2 linked regions of the Macaca mulatta genome follow. The protein of the gene in region 2 interacts with the protein of the main gene of each other region in a biochemical or structural test. Links are inferred from orthologs where the notes say so. Each region holds a gene or a part of one and is shown on either strand. Other genes may lie near its edges.

What was found. The genes of interacting proteins can lie anywhere in the genome.
Region 1: the proteins of DNM2 (region 2) and SNX9 form a complex in vitro, tested with the Homo sapiens proteins (2 studies listed by BioGRID and IntAct, with this or other methods). The link is inferred for Macaca mulatta from reciprocal best matches to the Homo sapiens genes DNM2 and SNX9.

Annotation. Positions count from the first base shown.
Region 1 is NC_133409.1:76,773,385-76,783,610, forward strand, and holds part of SNX9 (sorting nexin-9), read left to right. Parts: intron 1-1,024; coding exon 1,025-1,109; intron 1,110-4,544; coding exon 4,545-4,670; intron 4,671-4,785; coding exon 4,786-4,903; intron 4,904-10,226. UniProt on the Homo sapiens protein: Involved in endocytosis and intracellular vesicle trafficking, both during interphase and at the end of mitosis. Required for efficient progress through mitosis and cytokinesis. Required for normal formation of the cleavage furrow at the end of mitosis.
Region 2 is NC_133424.1:11,553,048-11,563,273, reverse strand, and holds part of DNM2 (dynamin-2), read right to left. Parts: intron 8,477-10,226; exon of another isoform or gene 8,406-8,476; intron 5,951-8,405; coding exon 5,841-5,950; intron 2,458-5,840; coding exon 2,346-2,457; intron 1,530-2,345; coding exon of another isoform or gene 1,506-1,529; intron 1,192-1,505; coding exon 1,027-1,191; intron 221-1,026; coding exon 1-220. UniProt on the Homo sapiens protein: Catalyzes the hydrolysis of GTP and utilizes this energy to mediate vesicle scission at plasma membrane during endocytosis and filament remodeling at many actin structures during organization of the actin cytoskeleton.

The DNA.
Region 1 (10,226 bases), on a different chromosome or scaffold from region 2:
GAGTCAGAATTCAAACCCCACGCCATCCAGCTGCAGGACACCTCTGGTCTCTTGTATAAGCTGTGTTTTAAAGGAATGTCTAGAGAAAGGAGACTCAAGGGAAGTCGGTCGAGAATGCAGGAAAAGAAGACATGGGCCCCTGAGAGTATCACACTGGCCTTCAGCTTGGCACATGAATGAAAGTAGCAATGCGACTGGAACTTCGTAGAAATAAGATTCCTTTTCCCACTGTAGATATTTTACTTCCTTCTGTTTACTGAAAGAAAAATTCTAAAACCCAAATTAATCTTGTCTTTTTCAGTAGCACTTTTTAGATGGCTGTGTTCTAGCTGTTCTCCAATTTTAGAAATATCCTTTGGCTGTAGATTTGATTTCTGGAAGTAGTCAAGTTTATTTAAGTTTTTGGGTCTTAAGTGACCTCCCCCCTCACCCCCACCCCAAAGCCAAATTTATTGATTATACTTTGGGTCTCTTTACCAAGGAGACTTGTTTTCCACTGTCATGAACTGCTTCTGAAGGCAATTCCAAAAGAAACAAGCACATACACTGATGAGCAGGACAGCCTCTTTGGGACAGTTGTGGCCTCTGGAGTGAGCTTGTTGAAAGGCAACTTTAATTTGGATGTAGAAATGCCAGCACGTGGCTGTTGCCCCCTGTGGCCAGCTCAGATTGGCATGCCCACTACTCACTGCCCCAGGGGACTAGGGGGCATTTTTTCAGGTCTGCCCTTCACTCTGTGGGGTGATGGAATGTTTCAGACATGGTCAAGCAAATAGAGTGCCCGTAAACATCACACCTTCAGGAGTCAAACTGTTCTCCTTACCAGATCAAGCTTAATTAAATGCCTAATTGGCCATTGAACAATCTGATTACATTAGGTTTCGTTTACCACAGTTTCCTAGTTGTAGTGCACCCGAAAGACAGGACAAGGTTAAAATTGGTAAATTCAGTAAATGTGGACGAGAGTTGTAAAATTCTTACAAGGAAAGACTTAAGATTGACGAACCTTTGTATTCATGATTAGATTTCCTGGATTTGCGAAACCTGGCACGGAACAGTATTTGTTGGCCAAACAACTAGCAAAGCCCAAAGAGAAAATTCCCATCATTGTAAGTTTGTTTGTTTTTGTTTGCTTTCTTTCTGATTAAACTCTTAACACTGTACCTTAAAGCTAAGCGAGTTATTCATCTTTTGGAAAGTATTTTTAAATATATTTAATGTCCCAAATAACAGATAATATGTGTTAGTGTTGTAGGAGTACTGAAGATAATTAACACAAATTAATGCCTGTCATTATATTGTTTATTCTTTATCTTTCAGACCTTTAGTATTGAACAAACACTCATAAAACGTACTATTTTGATCATTTTTTTCTAAAATGTCTTGAAGTGTATTTTACATACTGTTTTTCTGTCAGCCCTATATGTTTCACTGATGAACTCAATTCAAATATTTGTTTCTTCCCTTGTAAAGTACATGTTTGTTATCAGAATAAGGTGCCCTTTCAGATATATTGGTAATAGTGTTTTTTCCAGTAAGCCAGCTGTCAAATCGAGATACGGAGCTACCAAATAAAAGCTGGGAGTTAAGGACATCATTAAGAATATCTGTCTTAGAATTACTTGGTCATCGCATAACGTGACACAAGCCCTTTGGTTTCATTCCACATTTTCATTGGTGATAGATTTTCTGTCTAGGTGATATTTAGTTGTAGATTCCCAAATGAAATTCTGGAAAAGAGAAGTATAGCTCTCTTCTGATCCTGTTGACTTAACCCTGTAACAATCAGATTGGGAACCTGAAGTCTTGAGTGTTCTCACCCTGGACTCAATCAAGGATGAGGAAACATCTGGTCTTATTCTGTAATCTTTGGAGACTTGATAAAATTGCAGGAATAGTATTAGATTCTTTAATTACTTGTGCCTGCATGTTTGAAAAACTCTAAACCCTGGAAGCCTCCAGACTGAAGAGCTGTAACCAAGAGCCCTTTTTATGCTTTTTCCCTCAAAGCAAATTTGGGGTAATTAACTTCTGAGTAGTTATATTAAAGATTTTTTTCCTGTTTTCTCTGGACTTAAATAAGTGAACATGTACCATTATTCTTTTCATGAGATTTAACACTCCTCAAAATCAAGAGCGCACAGCTCTGCCTCAGTTTTGTTTTTTTGTTTTTTGTTTGTTTGTTTGTTTGTTTTTAAGACAGAGTCTCACTCTGTCACCCAGGCTGGAGTGCAGTGGCGCGATCTTGGTTCACTGCAACCTCTGCCTCACGGGTTCAAGCAATTCTCCTGCCTCAGCCTCCCAAGTAGCTGGGATTATAGGCATAAGCCACCACGTCTGGCTAATTCTTTTTGTATTTTTTAGTAGAGATGGGGTTTCACCATATTGGCCAGGCTGGTCTTGAACTCCTGACCTTGTGATCCACCTGCATCGGCCTCCCAAAGTGCTGGGATTACAGGCATGAGCCCCCGCAGCCGGCCTGCCTCAGATTCTTAAAGGGGACTTTGTCCCAAGCGTGCAGTGGTGGTACAGAGTTAAGGGTTCCACCCTTTCATTGACCCGCAAGTTTTAGGTAGAACTGGACCCATGCAGCCAGTAGGCGGGTCTGCCTGTGTGGGCGTCCATACATGGAAGAAGCTGGGGAAAGCCACCGCATCTTCAGGAGGCCCAGAGAAAGCAAAGACTAACTCTTTGCTCTAAAAGTGCCGTAACCTTGCCTTCTCATGAAACAGAGACCCATGAAATTGGGCACTACCCAAGCGCAGTTGCCGCTCTCAGCCCACTCACTGAGGGAGCCCCCGAAAGTCATCTCCTCTGCACCTTTCGGGTAGTTTCTTGGATCTGGGCCCTCTCTGCGGGCGTTATATTAATTTGTTCTCAGAGATTTTAGTCTCTTTTTAAACTGCTCCTATCCTTACAGTAGGGCACCTTCCTGACCTAACAGACTCTGGACTTAAATATCCCAATCCGCTTTTCCCATCTTCCACTTAAAAAAAAAAAAAAAAAAAAAAAAACTAGGACTGGGTATACTTTTTTTTCCTTTTTATGTCTGTCTGGCCTTGCCTCTCTGAGGTCTCAGCCTGAACAAATCTCTCTTCCTTCAGCACAATCTGTGTGATTTTTCTCACTTTCTTTTTACTTTCTTACTGTACTTTTTCAAATCTGCAAGAGTAAAACCTGTTCATGAATTATTTCATTCTCCTTGAGTCTCTGGATGGATCTCTGAGTGAACCCGCTTCCTGAACAGTGGGTCTTTTTACAGTCCGTGTGTTTGCTTTTCATTCTTGTCTTGGATTGTAACTCAATTATTTTTCGTTGTTAAGCCAAGAAGATAGATAACATTCTCAGTATAATAAGGACTTCTATTGCTCTGCAATATGTTTTCATAAGAGGTACTGTCCTACGGTCTGAATCTCTGGAGTCTGTCATTGTGGTCGAAGTTTATGAAATGAATGAGGCAGAACCAGCTTGAGACTGTTGGTGACTCAGGGAGTGATTTCAGGAGCCTGTACATGAGCTCCAGCATCCAGGTTCCTCTGCAGCTGCCCCCATGGCCTTGGATGCTGTTTTAAATAAGTTGAAAACACCAGGTTTGGGACAGCAGACCTATTGTCACCTAGCAATGCCTAGCAGAAATGATTCTCAGGCTCAAAACTTACACACGTGGTCTCTACACCCCCACATAGAACTTAGCTGATTTCCCTTCCTCACCTCCCACCACAGCTAAAACCCCAGTGAGCTAGTGTAAGCCTCGCCTGAATTTGTGAACTTGTGCCCCTAGTCACAGATAGAAGAGAAGGCCAGTGCGAAAGGAATGGAGGCCTACCCTCTTCGGGCAAGCCTTGCCCAGGTGGGTGTGATACCTGGGGGGTTGGAAGTGAGCCAGCCCACTGTGCTTAGGCACAGCAGCCCACGGAAAAACAGCAAGCCTGGTTCTTGCTTTTAAGACATAGTACCTCCCCCTCCCCTCACCCTGCCACTAGTAGTAAAACTGGCCATCATCTCTGGCCAATCTGACTAATCGCTTCTCTGAGCCACAGCAATGCTACTAGACCAGTGGCCCATCTGAAAACTGCTTGTTCCTGATCCACCATGAGATTGGTATGGAACATGAGAATATTTAGAAAACTTGAGGACAATTTGGTATTGTTGAAAAATCAAAATGTATGATGTTATATTTCACCAAACTATTATTGGAAATTTTTAAAAACTAGTCCTTCATCACATGTAGCTTGAGACAGCTAGACTATAAAGAAACATTGTTTTGTAACTAGCACTCTCCTCAGGAGAGGGAAGCTGGTGTCTCCTCTCCCTGGGCTGAGCTACCCACATGGGAGCAGAAGGGTTTCCCACAGGTGCGTTCTTTAAACATAGTATCTAACAGGAACAGAAACCATTGAACCATATATGTACCTTTCAAAGAGGAACAAGAATGACCCTCCAAAGGACTTCTCATTCTGAAAAGAATGACTTGCTGACTCACATCAATTATATTTATTATTTTTCCATGTAACAAAATTACTTATTTCTGGAACATTGCATAGGTTGGAGATTATGGCCCAATGTGGGTTTATCCTACCTCTACATTTGACTGTGTGGTAGCAGATCCCAGGAAAGGCTCCAAAATGTATGGTCTGAAGAGCTACATTGAATATCAGCTAACACCCACTGTAAGTATCCACGTTATCAAAAGCAGAATCGTGTGGATCACTGATCGCAGCTTGCTTTTTTCTTCATTTTCTAGAGTTGGCATTGGTAACCTTTTCTCTTCCGCTTATTTTGTAGAACACTAATCGATCTGTAAACCACAGGTATAAGCACTTTGACTGGTTATATGAGCGTCTCCTGGTTAAGTTTGGGTCAGCCATTCCAATCCCTTCTCTTCCAGACAAGCAAGTCACAGGTGAGTGTGTTTAATGCTAAACCCAGCATGATAAATAAAAAGACTCAAGTCAGATTATCCTCCTATAAGTCAGTGATGGCGTTTTCCATCCTGTAGAGCAGCAGGAGGCAGGAGTTGGGAACAGTAATTAAATACAGCTATGAAGAGAGAACCATAGCATGTTGTACATGTATCTGGAAGTTGCCTAAACATCTAACAAGAACGTTTAATGTACAAATCACTGGTCTTGGTATGTGTGTTGAATTCCAGCAGAGTCATTGCCTTCATTGCTGTACTCTTTCTCCAAAAGAAATGTGTACATTTAAAATATGTGAAAAATGACACCTGAAAAAACAAATGATTCAGATAGCCTAAAATGGAAACAAAAACATATGACCCACATGATGCAAACAGGTTATGCAGATGAGCTGCGTTATTTCATTAGATCAGTGAGCACTGGACGGAGAAGCCACAGAACTGCTAAGTGTTAACGAAGGAAGAAGCTGCCCGGTTTTCTGCTTGCTTTGATTATTACCCTCTCCCTTTTCTTGTTTTTTAAAAGTGCCATTTTCTATTTATTTTGATTACTACCTTCTGCCTTCTCTTGTTTTTTAAGTGCCACATTCCCTCCTCTCCCCCACCCCCAAGAATATCTTGGTAAATAACCCATGGTGTTACTAGAGCACCTTGTAAGTATGCAGGTAGAAAGGTTTGTTTTTGTGTCTGGGAATGGTTTTTGTTTTTAATCTCCAGCCTAGCATAGACTCTGCTACTCTGTGTAGGCACTCAGGGACTCAGCATGTGTGTGTCAAAATAAAGGTCGTGGGCCGGGCACGGTGGCTCGCGCTTGTAATCCCAGCACTTTGGGAGGCCGAGGCGGGCGAATCACGAGGTCAGGAGATGGAGACCATCCTGGCTAACACGGTGAAACCCCGTTTCTACTAAAAAATCAGCCGGGTGAGGTGGTAGGCGCCTGTAGTCCCAGCTCCTGGGGAGGCTGAGGCAGGAGAATGGCGTAAACCCAGGAGGCAGAGGTTGCGATGAGCTGAGATCGCACCACTGCACTCCAGCCCAGGCGACAGAGCGAGACTCTGTCTCAAAAAATAAATAAATAAATAAATAAATAAATAAAATAATAAAGTTTGTGAAGAAATGGACTTAAAGGTTAGGCAGAGTTTAGTATATTGCTAGAAATGTTCATATACATGAACTAGTGAAAATAGAAAGGAGTGGATTGAGAGTGAGAGGAGGTCTTCAAAGGTCAGAGCCAGGAGGCCTGAAAGAGATGTGAAGGAGACGCCGAGAGGCTCACCTGAACCCATGGAGAAGCAACATGGAGGGGTGAAGGAAGGGTTCTTTCCCAAAGGTCAGGGAAGACCAGAGGCGGTGGAATTCTCACTGCATTCGCAAGAGTCTAACAGTTCAGAGAGGGCCTGCGACTCTTCACAGCCAGGTGGCAGTGCCAGATGGAGACATGTCAGCATCCCCGTGGAGTCCCACGTGTGCCTGCCTGGACACTTCCCAAGTGCCTCTCATCTGTCCTCACAGATAGTCATTTTCATCTTCACTTTATGTATGAGGAAATGGAAATCCAAACATTAAACAGGTTCCCCTCTCTATTGTCGAAAAAGGAATGTGAACCTGATCCCACAGCTTACTCTGTTTATGTTAAGATGTGGACTGACTAAATCTTCCCCTAGAATTAGTATTCATACAATGAGTAAATTATTCTCCTTAAAACATTACTTTATATTTTACTTTGTTTTATGTTTGTTTTTCCCTGAAGTGTTTTGTGGAGATGGAAAGTTTTGTTTTAAAAGTTTTGATTTTGATTTTTTTGGAAAACATTTCAAAAATTTCAAATTGTCATAGGAAAATTGAAAATGGGGCTGCACTGCTGGGTAGATAAACACATCCCCACAGTCCCCTGGGTGACACTTGAGTGGTGCCTCGTGATGCTGGGGCCATGGAGTGACAGCCAGAGGGCCGGGCTGCTGCTGCCTTCCGCCCAGAGGCACTGACCGCACCCCTACTTCTAACCCAGTTCAGACACTCCCTGTACCTCCTTTTTGTCGTCCTTATTGCTTTCAATCACAGCTTTCTCTTTAAAAATACAGATTTCTTTCCATGAAAACTTCAGTTCTGCCATTTAAAATTATAGTCTATTTCCTTGAATTTTGTACTGTCCTTTATCAACTTGGTTAGCACAGCGTGTGCTCCGTGGTGTTTAAATACATGGGTTAATGGCCTGTTTCGGGCTTGTAAGAAATTCTCGTATCTTTTAGATTGTAATACATTGTTTATTCTGAATAATTCAGTACTCTTGTAAAGCTTCAGAGAGTCACGGTTCTCCTTCCATACTAAGATTTGTTTAAAAAAAGTAAGTTCAGGCGTGCAGCCAGGGAGGGGAATGTCATAGAAAAGCGAGCAAGCAGCAGCCCCTCGGTGTGAAGAAAGTTTAGCTTTGATTCACTAACTGGGATATGAGCCAAGGAAGCCAAACAGCACAGAAGGGCTCTATTTCCCCCCTCTCACTTGTTTGCCTCCTGCCTGGGATGCCCATAGATCATTATTATATGAGAGCTCTCCTCTCACTTAACTACAGAAGAAAAGAAAAAGGAATGCTTAGTAGGTGATGCTGTGATATTCCTGTGGACTCGATAATTAATCCATGAAAAAGTGTACAGTTAACATTTCTGTATTTGTTTAGAGATTTTTTTATGGAAATAATATTGAATGAATATGATTTTACTCCTGGGACCAAACTGATACATTCATATACTTATTGAAAACCTTAGTAAGGTTCATGGAAAACAGAGAAATAAAAGTTCCTCCTTCTTTCTAATTCTTTGCAACTTGGTCTGAAAATTCTACCAAACGTAAAATAACATCTGAAGTCATAAGCTTAAAGAGAAACCAGCTGTGTCAGAAAAATTTTCACAAGAGTAATTTTTCAATAAAATAAGAATCTCTAAATTTCAACCAATGATTGGATAATGAACTCTGGGTATAACTCACCTGGCCGTAATGGGAGGTTCATCTTATCCCAGGTCCAGGCTGGCTTTCTGGCCAGGAGGTGGATTATCGTTTTTCCAAGTTACAAGGCTTTGCTTCTGCTTAATCTACTGCTAGTAAATGCAAAGTTTGCAATGCTGTAGTACACTGACAGTGTCTAGACTCATTGTTCTGTTCAAATCCACTTTTTAGGTAATAAAAGTTTTTGATATATAGGTGCATAATACTATCTATTATTTATTTATTTTTGGAGACAGGGTCTTGCTCTGTTACCCAGCCTGGAGTGCAGTGGCACAGTCATAGCTCACTGCAGCCTTGACCTCCTGGACTCAAGTGATCCTCCCACCTCAGCCTCCCAAGTAGCTGGGATTATAGGTGCACGCCACCATTGCCTGACTTATACTTGTAGTTTCTAAAGGAAAGTTCAGGTTTCATTTTTTAAATTTTACTTTTAAATTTAGGTACAGTAAATTCATTCTTTTTGGTGTAGAGTTCTGAGTTTTGACAGCTACCACTGCAGTCTTGCAACCACCACTAGATTTCATGATACAGAACAGCTCCGTCACCTCCCCAGGTTCCCTCGTGCTGCCCATCCCCCTAGTCCTAACCATGGCAACAGCTGATGTGTTCTTTGTGTTCATAATTTTGTGTTTTCTAGAATGTCATTATAAATGGAAGCATGCAGTGTATAGTCTTTCGAGTCTGACTGCTTTCATTTAGCATAACGCATTTGCAATTCATTCATTTTGTTGTGTCAATAGTTTGTTCCTTTTGAGGCCAATAGTATTCCAGTGTTTAGATATACCATAGCTTGTTTATCCATTCACTCATTGAAGGACATTTGGGTTTCCAGCTTTTGGCAATTATGAATAAAGCTGCCATAAACATTTGCAAACAGGTTTTTGCATGAACATAAGTTTTCATTCCTCTTGGGTAAATAAGAGTAAAATGACTGGGTCATTTGGCAAGTATATGTTTAATGTTTAAGAAATTGCTCGACTGTTTTTCAAAGAGGCTATACCATTTTGGAATCCTCACCAGCAATATATGAGAGTATCAGTAGTTCCACATCCCTACCTGCACTTGATAGTGTCCGGTTTTCCTCGTTTTAACCAGTCCGATAGGTATGCAGTGGGATCTCAGCGTGGTTTTGATTTGCATTTCCTGATGGCGAGTGGGGCCGAGCATCTCTTCATGTGCTTATTTCCCATCTGTAGGTCTTCGGTGCTGAAGCGTCTGTTCACATCTTGTGCTCATTTTGTATCAGTCTGTTTTCTTGTTGTTGAATCCTGAGATTTTTAAAAATATGTATATATTCTAGAAACAAGTTCTTTGTTAGATAAGTGATTTGCAAATAACTTGTCGCAGCTGTGGCTTGGCTTGTCATTTTCTTTTTCTTTCTTTTTTTTTTTTTTTTTTTTTTTTTTTGAGACAGGGTCTCACTCTGGTCGCCCAGGCTGGAATGCAATGTCAACCATCTCAGCTCACTACAACCTTGACCTTGACCTCCCGGGCTCAAGCAGTCTTCCAGCCTCAGCCTCCTGAGTAACTAGGGGACTGCAGGCTCTCATCAACACTTCTTGTGAATTTTTTGTATTTTTGGTAGAGACAGGGTTTTCACCCTGTTGCGTAGGCTGGTCTCGAAGTCCTGAGCTCAAGCGATCCACCCACTTCAGCCTCCCAAAGTGTTGGGATTAGAGGCAGGAGCTACCACACTAGCCTTATTATTTTCTTAACAGTGTCTTTTGCATAACAAAGGCTTTTAACTTTAATGAAGTTCACTGTATCAGTTTTTTCTTTCATGGACTGTGCTTGAGGTGTCATGGCTAAGATCAATTCACAACATTTTCTTCTAAAGGTTTTGTAGTTTTAGGCTTTTCATTTAGGTCTTTGATACATTTTGAGGTTATTTTTATATAAGGTGTGCAGTGCGGTAGAGGTAGTGCATTTTTTTTTTTTTCATCAGGATATTCAGTGGGTCTCACACCATCTTTTGGAAAGACAGATCTGTTTTACATTTATTAGAATGATGTTTGTAAAAGAAAAAAATCAGTTGATTGTATTTGTGGGTTTATTTCTGGATTCTGTTCTGTTCCATTGATTTATGTGTCCATCCCTTTCTCCAGTCCTGCACTGTCTTGACTTGTGTAGCTTTATGGTAAGTCTTTAAATCAGGTAGCGTGAATCCTCCAACTTGGTTCCTTTACAACACTGTTTTGGCTATTCTTTTTCTTTTCCTTTCCTTGTAAATTTAAATGTCAGTTTGTAGATATTTATAATCATGCTGGAATTTTTATTGGAACTGCGTTGATTCTATGGAACAATTTTC
Region 2 (10,226 bases):
CGCTCTGGAGCCAGGTGTCGTCGACGGGCGGGGGTACGGGCGTGGACACGGTGCTGGTGCTGATGTCGCCGATGATGTTGAGCGCCTCCTTGAGGGCATGGTACATGCGCAGCATGTCGTCCCGCCGCTGCGCCTGGTCGGCCGACTCCTCCATGAGGCTGCTCTGGTCCGCTGAGGAGTATAGGTAGGCCAGAAGCTCGTGGTGGATGAAGGCCTTCGTCTGTGGGCAGGGGTTGGGGAGGGTCAGGCTTGCACATCACCCCAACCCACAACCCACAGTGATTGCTGGAAAAACGTCTCCCACAGGGCGGGGCCACCCCCAGACGTTTTTGCAATTCTCCTGCCTCAGCCTCCCGAGTAGCTGGGACCACAGGTGCGTGACACCATGCTTGGCTAATTTTTGTAATTTTTGTAGAGATGGGGTTTCACCATGTGGCCCAGGCTGATTATGAGATTCTTATTCAACTTACTTCTACTATCTTGCCTCTTCTATTGATATCTTTTCTCCTGTTTAGCTTATTTATTTATTTCCTTAACCTTGGCAGAATAATCCTGTTATATCTTTTTTTTTTTTTTAAGACGGAGTCTCGCTCTGTTGCCCAGGCTGGAGTGCAGTGGCATGATCTCAGCTCACTGCAACCTCTGCCTCCCGGGTTCATGCCATTCTCCTGCCTCAGCCTCCCAAGCAGCTGGGACCACAGGCACCTGCCACCACGCCCAGCTAATTTTTTTTGTATTTTTAGTAGAGACGGGGTTTTACCGTGTTAGCCAGGATGGTCTCGATCTCCTGACCTCATGATCCGCCCGCCTCAGCCTCCCAAAGTGCTGGGATGACAGGCGTGACCTACCGCGCCCGGCCTCGTTTTTGTATTTTTAGTAGAGGTGGGGTTTCACCATTTTGGCCAGGCTGGTCTTGAACTCCTGACCTCAAGTGATCCGCCCACCTTGGCCTCCCAAAGTGCTGGGATTACAGGCCTGAGCCACCGCACTCAGCTGCCTCCTTCTCATTTTTAGTTCACCACTCACATTGTTGATCATGAGGTGCATGATGGTCTTTGGCATGAGGTCGCGGATGGACTTGTTGATAATGGCCACGTATGAGTCCACCAGGTTGCGAATGGTCTCCACCTGCCGCTCCAGTTGGGGGTCCATGGAGAAGGTGTTCTCCTGGGCCCCGTCCTCGTTTTCTGCCTGCAAGCGGGAGGGGAGGTGCTGAGGGGTGACTATGGCCTGGGGCAAGTCCTGGTTCTCTGGAAACCATCTGCCCTATTGTCCCACCAATAACTGACCCCAGGCTGGCCCCTGACAGCCCCACTGGTACCAGGTAGGCCTGCCTGCCCCGGGCCAGAGCTGCCCAAACAATGGGGTGACACTGGCTGATGCTGGGGTGGATCCCCTCACCTGGGCATTGGAACATCGTTTTTTTTGTTTTTTTTTGACACGGTCTTGCTATGTCACCCAGGCTGCAGTGCAGTGGCACAAACACGGCTCACCGCAGCCTCAACCTCCTGGGTACAGCTCAAGTGATCCTCCCACCTCAGCCCCCTGGAGTAGATGGGATTACAGGGGTGCGTCACCACGCCTGCGTATGTTTGTATTTTTTGGAGAGACAGGGTTTTGCAACATTGCCCAGGCTGTTCTCAAACTCCTGGGTTCAAAGGATCTGCCCGCATCGCTTCCCAAAGTGTTGGGATTACAGGTGTGAGCCATCACACCCAACCTTAGGACATTTTATTTTATTTTTGAGATGGAGTCTCGCTCTGTCGCCCAGGCTGGAGTGCAATAGCATGATCTCAGCTCAATGCAACCTCCACCTCTAGGTTTAAGCGATCTCCTGACTCAGCCTCCCGAGTAACTGGAATTACAGGCATGTGCCACCATGCCCGGCTACTTTTTGTAGTTTTAGTAGAGACGGGGTTTCACCATGTTGGCCAGGCTGGTCTCGAACTCCTGAGCTCAAATGATCTGCCTGCCTCAGCCTTCCAAAGCGCTGGGATTACAGGCGCGAACTATCCAGCGCGCCCGGCAAGACATTTTAATATTGGGGCCAAGGGTGGCCATGTTCACTCCACCTCAGGATGGAGGGGAAAAGAGAGGAGAACAAAGAAGGCGGTACCCCATCCCCTGCGTGCCCTGGTCACTGGCTTCCGTGAGGGAACATTCTGGGCCCTGATGACAAAGTATCTCCAAGTTCTCCTTTGCTTGCTCAAGTGGGCATCTGCTACATGATTTCAGAGGCTCCTGGCTAACATGACCTGAAAATGACCTGTCCTGGGGAAAGCCAGCTCTGCTTCCTCTCCCAGGTGGGGGCCGCTGGGCCGCCGCTGCGCAGGGCGGCTCCTCACCTGGTCCTTCTCAGGGTAGACGCCGGCTCGGAGGAACGAGGCCTTCCAGCTGTCCACGTCCTCCTGGGAGTCACAGGCCAGCTCGATCTGCCGCAGGTCCTTGTAGACGTTTCTGCGGGGGGAGGGAGAGGAGCAGGCTTGACCCTGCCATGGGTCTGGCAGACCACCGGGAGGAGTGGGCTCTAGGGGTCTTTCTGACTGATCAGGAACCCAAACCCAACCCAGGCTTCACCCGGTCATGCCGAGGGATCATGGTGAGTGATGCCTACGCAGAAGATCACTGTGCACTAGCTCGGCAGGTGTCTGTGTTTCTTTATTTCTGTTGGATTAGCTGACTCTTCTCTTTTCCTGGGCCCCCAGAAGTAGGCATGTGACCCTTGACACCCACTGTAGCTGGGAAGCTCCCACTGGGGCATTTTCAGGAAAGCCCAGAGCAGCACTGTCCACCAGAAATTTATTATTATTATTATTATTATTATTATTTTTGAGATGGAGTTTCACTCTTGTTGCCCAGGCTGGAGTGCAATGGCGCAATCTTGGCACACCGCAACCTCCACCTTTCAGGTTCAAGGGATTCTCCTGCCTCAGCCTCCCAAGTACCTGGGATTACAGGCATGCGCCACCACACCTGGCTAATTTTTATATTTTTAGTAGAGACAGGGTTTCTCCATGTTGATCAGGCTGGTCTCGAATTCCTGACCTCAGGTGTTTTGCCTACCTCGGCCTCCCAAAGTGCTGGGATTACAGGCATGAGCCACTTCGCCCGGCTGTGAGTTTTTTTAAAAAAAATTTTGGCCGGGCACAGGGGCTCACGCCTGTAATCCCAACACTTTGGGAGGCCGAGGCAGGAGGATCAACTGAGGTCAGAAGTTTGAGACCAGCCTGGCCAACATGGTGAAACCCCGTCAATACTAAAATAAAAAAAATTAGCCGGGAGTGGTGACGCATTCCTGTAGTCCCAGCTGCTCGGGAGGCTGAGGCAGAAGAATCACTTAAACCTGGGAGGTAGAGGTTGTAGTGAGCCGAGATTGTGCCACCGTCTCCAGCCTGGGTGACAGAGTGAGACTTCGTGTCAAAACAAAACAAAAAAATTTTTGTAAAGGTTAGGCATGGTGGCTCACACCTGTAATTCTTGCACTTTGGGAGGCTGAGACAGGGGGATTGCTTGAGCTCAGGAGCTGGAGACCAGCCTGAGCAACACAGAAAGATCCCCATATCTACAGAAAATACAAAAATTAGCTGGGCATGGTGGCGTGCACCTGTAGCCCCAGCTACTTGGGAGGCTGAAGTGGGAGGATCACTTAAGCATGGGAGGTGGAGGCTGCAATGAGCTGAGATCACGCCACTGCACTCCAGCCTGGGTGACAGAGCAAGACTCCGTCTCAAAAAAAAAAAAAAAAAAAAAAAAAAAAAGAACCAGGGTCTCAAAGCTGGGAGATAAATGGAATGGATGCTAAACAATGCTTGCAGATGGTGGTCTATAGGCCAGGCCCCGTGCCACATGCCATGCATGTTTTCCTGTCCCACATGCAGGTGTGGTTGAGACAGCCAAGCTGCCCCCAAAGCCTTTAAGTGAGACTTGGGTTTGTGGTCAGCAAGTGGCTGCCCTGAACGACCTCTGGATGGGGTTGTGTGGGGAGAGGCATGCCCTTGTAGCTCCTCCTGTCTTCCTTTCTGCTGCTGCCTGGAACATCATCACAATGGCCGGAGCCTGGGCAGCCATTTTGGGCAAAGAAGTAGCAGTCAGGGTTTTGGGCCAGGCATGGTGGCTCATGCCTGTCATCCCAGCACTTTGGGAGGCCGAGGTGGGTGGATCACTTGAGGTCGGGAGTTTGAGACCAGCTTGACCAATATGGAGAAACTCTGTCTCTACTAAAAATAAAAAATTATCCAGGCATGGTGGTGGATGCCTGTAATCCCAGCTACTCGGGAGGCTGAGGCAGGAGAATCGCTTGAACCCAGGAGGCAGAGGTTGCAGTGAGCTGAGATCGCACCATTGCACTCCAGCCTGGGCAACAAGAGCGAAACTCTGTTTCAAAAAAAAAAAGAGTCAGGATTTCGTGGCAGGACTGTCCTACCGCAGAGCTCGGGTTCTGCACACCAGGTGGAATCCTGAGGAACATGCAGGGCCTGGATCCGGATCCCTGTGGAGCTGCTCCACTTTGCCTGGGATACTAAAGTCTGGACTCGATTTACATAAAAACCCATCAACCATCTATCTTGTTTTTGCAGCTATTACTCTGGGTTTCCTGAACCTGCTCTTAAAAGATGTATCAGGTAATATCGTCACCCTCCCTGTAGAGGAGGCACACGGCTCAGGGACCTGGGACAGCTGCCAGGTGCCATACGGCCAGGGGCAAGCCTAGAAGAGCTATGAAGGTTTTCAGGGCCAGCTAGTGGACAAATGGGTCTCAGAGCTTTAGGCCAGCCAGAGCAAAGCAGGAGGGAACCAGGAGACTCAGCTGGAGTTGGTGGGTGTAGCCTAGCAGTAGGCAAGGAGGTGCTGGGGCCAGCAGGGAGGATGTCAGTGCCTGCCTGCGGGTCTCAGGGTACCACCGGGCCTTTGCTGACAGCTAAGCCCTGACTCAGGTGGGCCCTGCTTCCTGGATGAATGCGATTGTGTTGAGCATGGGAGGAGCCCTCCCGCCAGCCGGGTCTCTTCCTGAGAGCAGTGTCCCTGCTAAAGTCTCCAGCCACTGCTTCATGGGACAGATGTACTGTGAGCTTCCTGGGGCCTCCCATTCTCCAGCTTCACTCTCCTGGGAGCTCATCTGGTTTCATCCCTTGAAATACTGTCTACACAATGGTGACTGCCTAGTTCACATCCCAGACTGGAGCTCGTTCCTGGACGTCACACTCCTCGATCTATCCAGGTGCCTGCCTGATGCGCCCTCTCCCTTGGATTGGACTAAATGGAGCTCTTGGCTGTCTCCAGGTCTACCCCGCCGCTGCCTTCCTCACCTCGGCCAATGGCAGCAGCCAGGCAGTGCCGGAGCTCAGGCCCAGGTACTCAGGGTCACCATCGGTGTCTTTCTCTCTCATATCCATGCCCACCAGGGCTCTGCCTGACTCTTCTACCCAGAATCTGCACCCTTCTTCCCTATGGGGTGTGGCCCCATCATCGCCCACTTGGACGAGGCAGTGGCCTTTGCCCTGGTCCCTGGTCTCCCACCCTCTCATACTGTTTCCCTCTCAGCCACCAGAGGGCGACTGCAAGCACCTGAGCCAGGTCCTGGTTACCCTGTGCTCAGAACTCTCCATGTTCCCACCTGACTTGGACCCTGCCTTCATCCTCGTCTCTGCCCAGAGAAGTCACCTCTGACCCAGCACCGGAAGCATCCCTGGCATTTGCTGTTTCTCACCCGACTCCCTTTCTAGAAGGTCGGTCCCAAGGGCAGGGGCTGCTGACAGCCAGGTGCTCAGTGAAGGCTGTGGAGTGTGAATGAGGCCGTTGGTCTTCACCCCGAGCCCTCCCCGGGACCCTGGGGCCCTCACCTCTGCTCCGTGTTGAAGATGGCGAACACGTGCTTGTTGGACATGAAGCCCTTCTCCACGTCACGTATCTTGAGGTTGTCCAGAGGCAGCATGTACTTCTTCTCTTTCTCCTGAGGGTGGACGGGAAAGTCACCCTGTGCTGTCCACGTGACAACTCAGGATGCCCCAGGCCAGAGAGTGCAGCGTGCGCCACCACCGGCCCTAGGGGCTTCTCAATGCTGCTGGTCGCTGCTGTGGATGAGCCCATCTGCCAGCCCCTCCCCGTCCGTCACTCTGTCCCAGCCACGCTGCCCTCCATGATGCTCCCTGAGTATCCCAGGTGGGTTCCTACCCCGGGGCCTTTGGACGACCCAGGCCACTGCCTGATCCAGACACCTGCATGGCTCCCTCCTGCCCTAACTCCACCCGCACCTTCCCCACTTCCACCCTCCTTTCCCCGCACACAACACATCACGTATTCTGCACTTGTTGACCTAGGTGCCCGACTGCCTGTGCTTATTGACCTAGATGGCTGACTGCCACTGGACTGACTCAGTTTCTCCTGTTGAGTTCACTGCTGACATGTGGCTGACTGCATGCGCAACCAAACCACCCCTCGCCTTGCGTGGAGTGAGTGGAACTTTTATCTGGGCTCCATCTTTGAAACGAGCCTAGGAGTGAGTTACCTCTGTGATGCCATTTTACAGAGGTGAAGACTGAGGCAGAGAGGAGCAGGGCTGAGATTTCAACCTTGGCCGCTTTAGGACATCTCAGGGCTGGATAGCTGACGCCTGGGCCAGGTGCTGCAGAAGTCTTAGTCCCTTTTTTTATTATTATCATTATCATTATTTTAATAGAGATGGGGTCTCACTGTGTTGCCCAGGCTGGTCTTAAACTCCTGGGTTCAAGCAAGCCTCTCGAAGTGCTGGGATTACAGGTGTGCGCCACCACACCTGGCCCTATCACTTGCTTTCGAAGGTTGGCCCTGTTCAGGAAGCACCAAACAAGTGCCGGGCATGGCTGCCCAAAATGCTAGGGGGCAGCTCAGAGGAGCTGGGCCCCTCAGCCAGGGGCAAGGGTCACGGAGTCACGGAGTCTGGGGATAGCACCCTGGAGCCCCATGCTCACCCAGTGACATGTGTGCCCACCCGCCACAGCAGCAGCTCTTGGGGACCCATGCCATGCACTGCTTCATCTCAGTTCATGGATCCCTCCCAGCTCAGAAAGGGAAGCTGGCTGCCCAAGGCCACATAGCAGGCAGTGCAAGCCACAGCAGGACTTCAGAGGCCAGGTCCCTGTGACCCAAAGCCCAGTCCTCTCCACAGTGCCCCTGGCCTTTCTTCTCCCTGGGCCATCTCTGGAAACTCCTCTCATGTCCCCTCGCTGTGCTGCCCCAGCACAAAGCCTAACCTGCCTGCCGCCTCCAAGTTTAAGAGCAGCCACAGTGACTGTGGAGAAGGCGGCTGGGGCTCCCTGGCAAGTGGGGGCCGGCTGGGAGTGTCAGGACTTTGCAAGGGAAGCCAGGATGAAGCAGTGGGCTTGGCACATGGGCTCAGTCTCAAGGCGTTAGGAGCTCAGCATGGTTGAGGTGATGCCAGCCCTGCCCTTTCCTGGCCGTGTGCCCTTAGGCAAGCCACTTCCACCATCCCCCCATCTGCACCTCGGTTTCCTCATCTGTCCAAGGAGGACGGAGGAGCTCGGTGCCCGCTGCAGAGCTGGTGCCCATGAGCACCCGGGATTTTCTTTGGTTGCTCTTGTGAGTGGCTCCAGAATTAGCCTTCTAGGCAAGGAAGAAGCAGGGCAGAGCATAGGAAGAGGGGCCCAGCAGCCGTGGAGGGAGCAGAGCGTAGAAGAGCGGCCCGGTGGCCATGGAGGGAGGGACGCCGCTGCAGACCCAAGGGAGGGAGGGTGTTGAAGAAGGCCTGTACCCCCCATCCCAGGCAAGGCTGGGTAACACAGGGCCTGAGTCCCTCCTGCCTCTCGGGGAAGAGTTTTGGGGGCTTTAGAAGGGGCCAGGAGAGGGGGCTCTGCAGAAGCCCTGCCCCCCACCCGGACGTTTGCCCAAGGGCCTTTGCTGTCCTGACTCTATCGTGTCATGCAGCCGGAAGCTTCCGTCCAGCGGGGCCAAGTAACTGAGTCACAGGCCGTTCCAGCTAACGCCACATCTGGAACTGTTTACAGTGCGATTCTGCCCAGAAAGCAGTGGCCGCCTTCCTGGGGCTGCCGGCACGCACACTCGCGCACACACACACGCGCGCGCGCGCGCACACACACACACAGAGGCATGTGTGCGCCCCTCCTCCCCACCCCCGACCCCCAGAGAGTCAGACTTTCTCCTGAGCCCAGAAGCCACGATCCCAAACCCTGCCTCCTGCCTCCGCCTCCCCCACTCTTTAGGATTTCCTGAAAACCCAGAACTTTCTCCAGATGCAAGCCGGCCCCAGCCTTGCCACGTCAGAGGGGACAGAGCGGATCGTCTCGGGAGGAGTGGTGGTTTCCCTGGCTGCTCAGAGGTGCTCAGGCGCGGCCTGGCCTGGTGGCTCCGGCGTCTGCCTGGGGGGTGCTGCGGGATGGACAGCCGGCCTCGCCAACCCAGTGTTCAGACTACCTGTTCAGGAGGCTCTCAACGTGTACAGTAGTCTGCACATTGGTTAGGCTGGGCTTGGGTGAGCGGCGCGTCGAGACAGGCCCCCCAAACTCGCCGGCAGGTGAGTGTCATTTTCCACCACCCCGTTTCCCACTGCGGTGAAGCCTGACATAGAAGATTCGAGGGCCTGGGTGGGAGAAGAGGTGCTGGGGAAAGGCAGAGGGAGCCCTGAGGCCGGCCGAGGGGTTGGGGGCCCTGGCCCTATCAGTCCGCCATCCCCACCCCATGGCTATAAACGTCTTCTCGTTTAATCTTTAAATAAAGAGATACCGATGTCTTGCGTCCCACTGAGGCATCTAAGAGGGTGGCCTGATCCTCAGGGGTGGCTGCCACATGTGTGACTCCAAGGGTCCCTGCTGGGATCCTAACTTGGGTGGTGGTAGGGGACACGTTCCATGGCTACCCCCTCCTGACTAGAGCCTGCTTTGTGTCTGGGGCGCACACAGTGCCCCTTTCACAGGTCGGCTGTTTCTCATTACGGCCGGTGCCCGGCCCTTCTCCCACCGCTGCTCCAGACTCCAATCTGGGGCTCCACAGGAGGGTCGGGGGCTCTGGCTTTCAACCCTGAGATGAGGAAAACACGAAGGGCCCCTCATGTGAGAGAAGAGATCTGACAACCAGACTTGCAGTGCTGCCAGGCAGAGAGCCGGCAGGGTAAGGTTCAGGCCCAGAGGCTCCTCCAGGGCTCGCCGCCCCAGGCCTGGCACTCCCACCCAGGGGACCCTGGAAGGTCCCCACAGCCCTAAACTGAAAGGCAGGGGACCAGCTCTCAGCCGGCCCGACAGCCCACACGCCACAGCGCAGGCTGCTTTCTGACTGCAAGGAGGAAAGAGGGGAGGAAAGTGAAGGGCACCCCACCCCACCCCGGCCATTTTGAGGAGCCATCCGATCCGGACACGTGAGTTCCTAGAGGAGCGTGAGGCAGGGGAGAAGACTGCAGACCACGCCTGGCCCCACACTCCTCCCACATCCCAACCCCATGAGGTTCGCTGGATCTGAGGTTCTGGAAGGTTCCACAGGGACCCCAGAAATGCTTGCATGGTGGCTCAGCAGACTCCACCACCCTGGGTTAAGAAATAGCACCCCAGAGTCCCGCAGAGGCCTCAGGGCTCCTGAGGCTTCCGGAACATTCCAGAGATGAGCGTCTGGCCTCGTGTGGAGTGGGATGACCCTTTCACCCCAGCGCCCTCGGTCAAGGGGACATCAGGCCTGGGCTGGGCGGAGGTGTCTGGATGTCGGGCTGGGGTGTCCCTCAGGTCAGGGAGCATGGGCCTGCAGACGTGCACCGGAGAAGCGTCCACCCCAGAGGGGACCCTCCCCCGCTCCCCGACGTGGGGCAAGTCACTGCTCAGACCCTTAGACGGGGGTGACCACAGAGCCACCCAAATGGCAAGCGTGAGGGTTTCCTCACGGGGAGCAGGGTTCTCCTCAGGTGTGGCCTCAGTGGGCTCTTAGCCAATGAGCCCAGCACAGAGCAGGGGTTCACAGCCACGAGGCCCTCCTCTCTTTGCTCCTCCCTGGGGCCAGCCGGGGCCCTCCAACCTGCCTTCTCTCTAAGCCTGGAACTTCCAAGCCAAGTCCTGCCTGTCCTGGGGCTGAAGTGGCTGCCAGCAAGCCCCCAGTCGGGGGTACTCCCACAGGGCATTCCCTCAAACCCAAGGGGAAGACAGCCAGGCAGGGTGGCTCCAGGGGACTCAGGCAACCCCAGCCTCTCCACTGAGGTTGCCTGGACTAAGCTGGTGGCTGTGCCATCCCAGGGA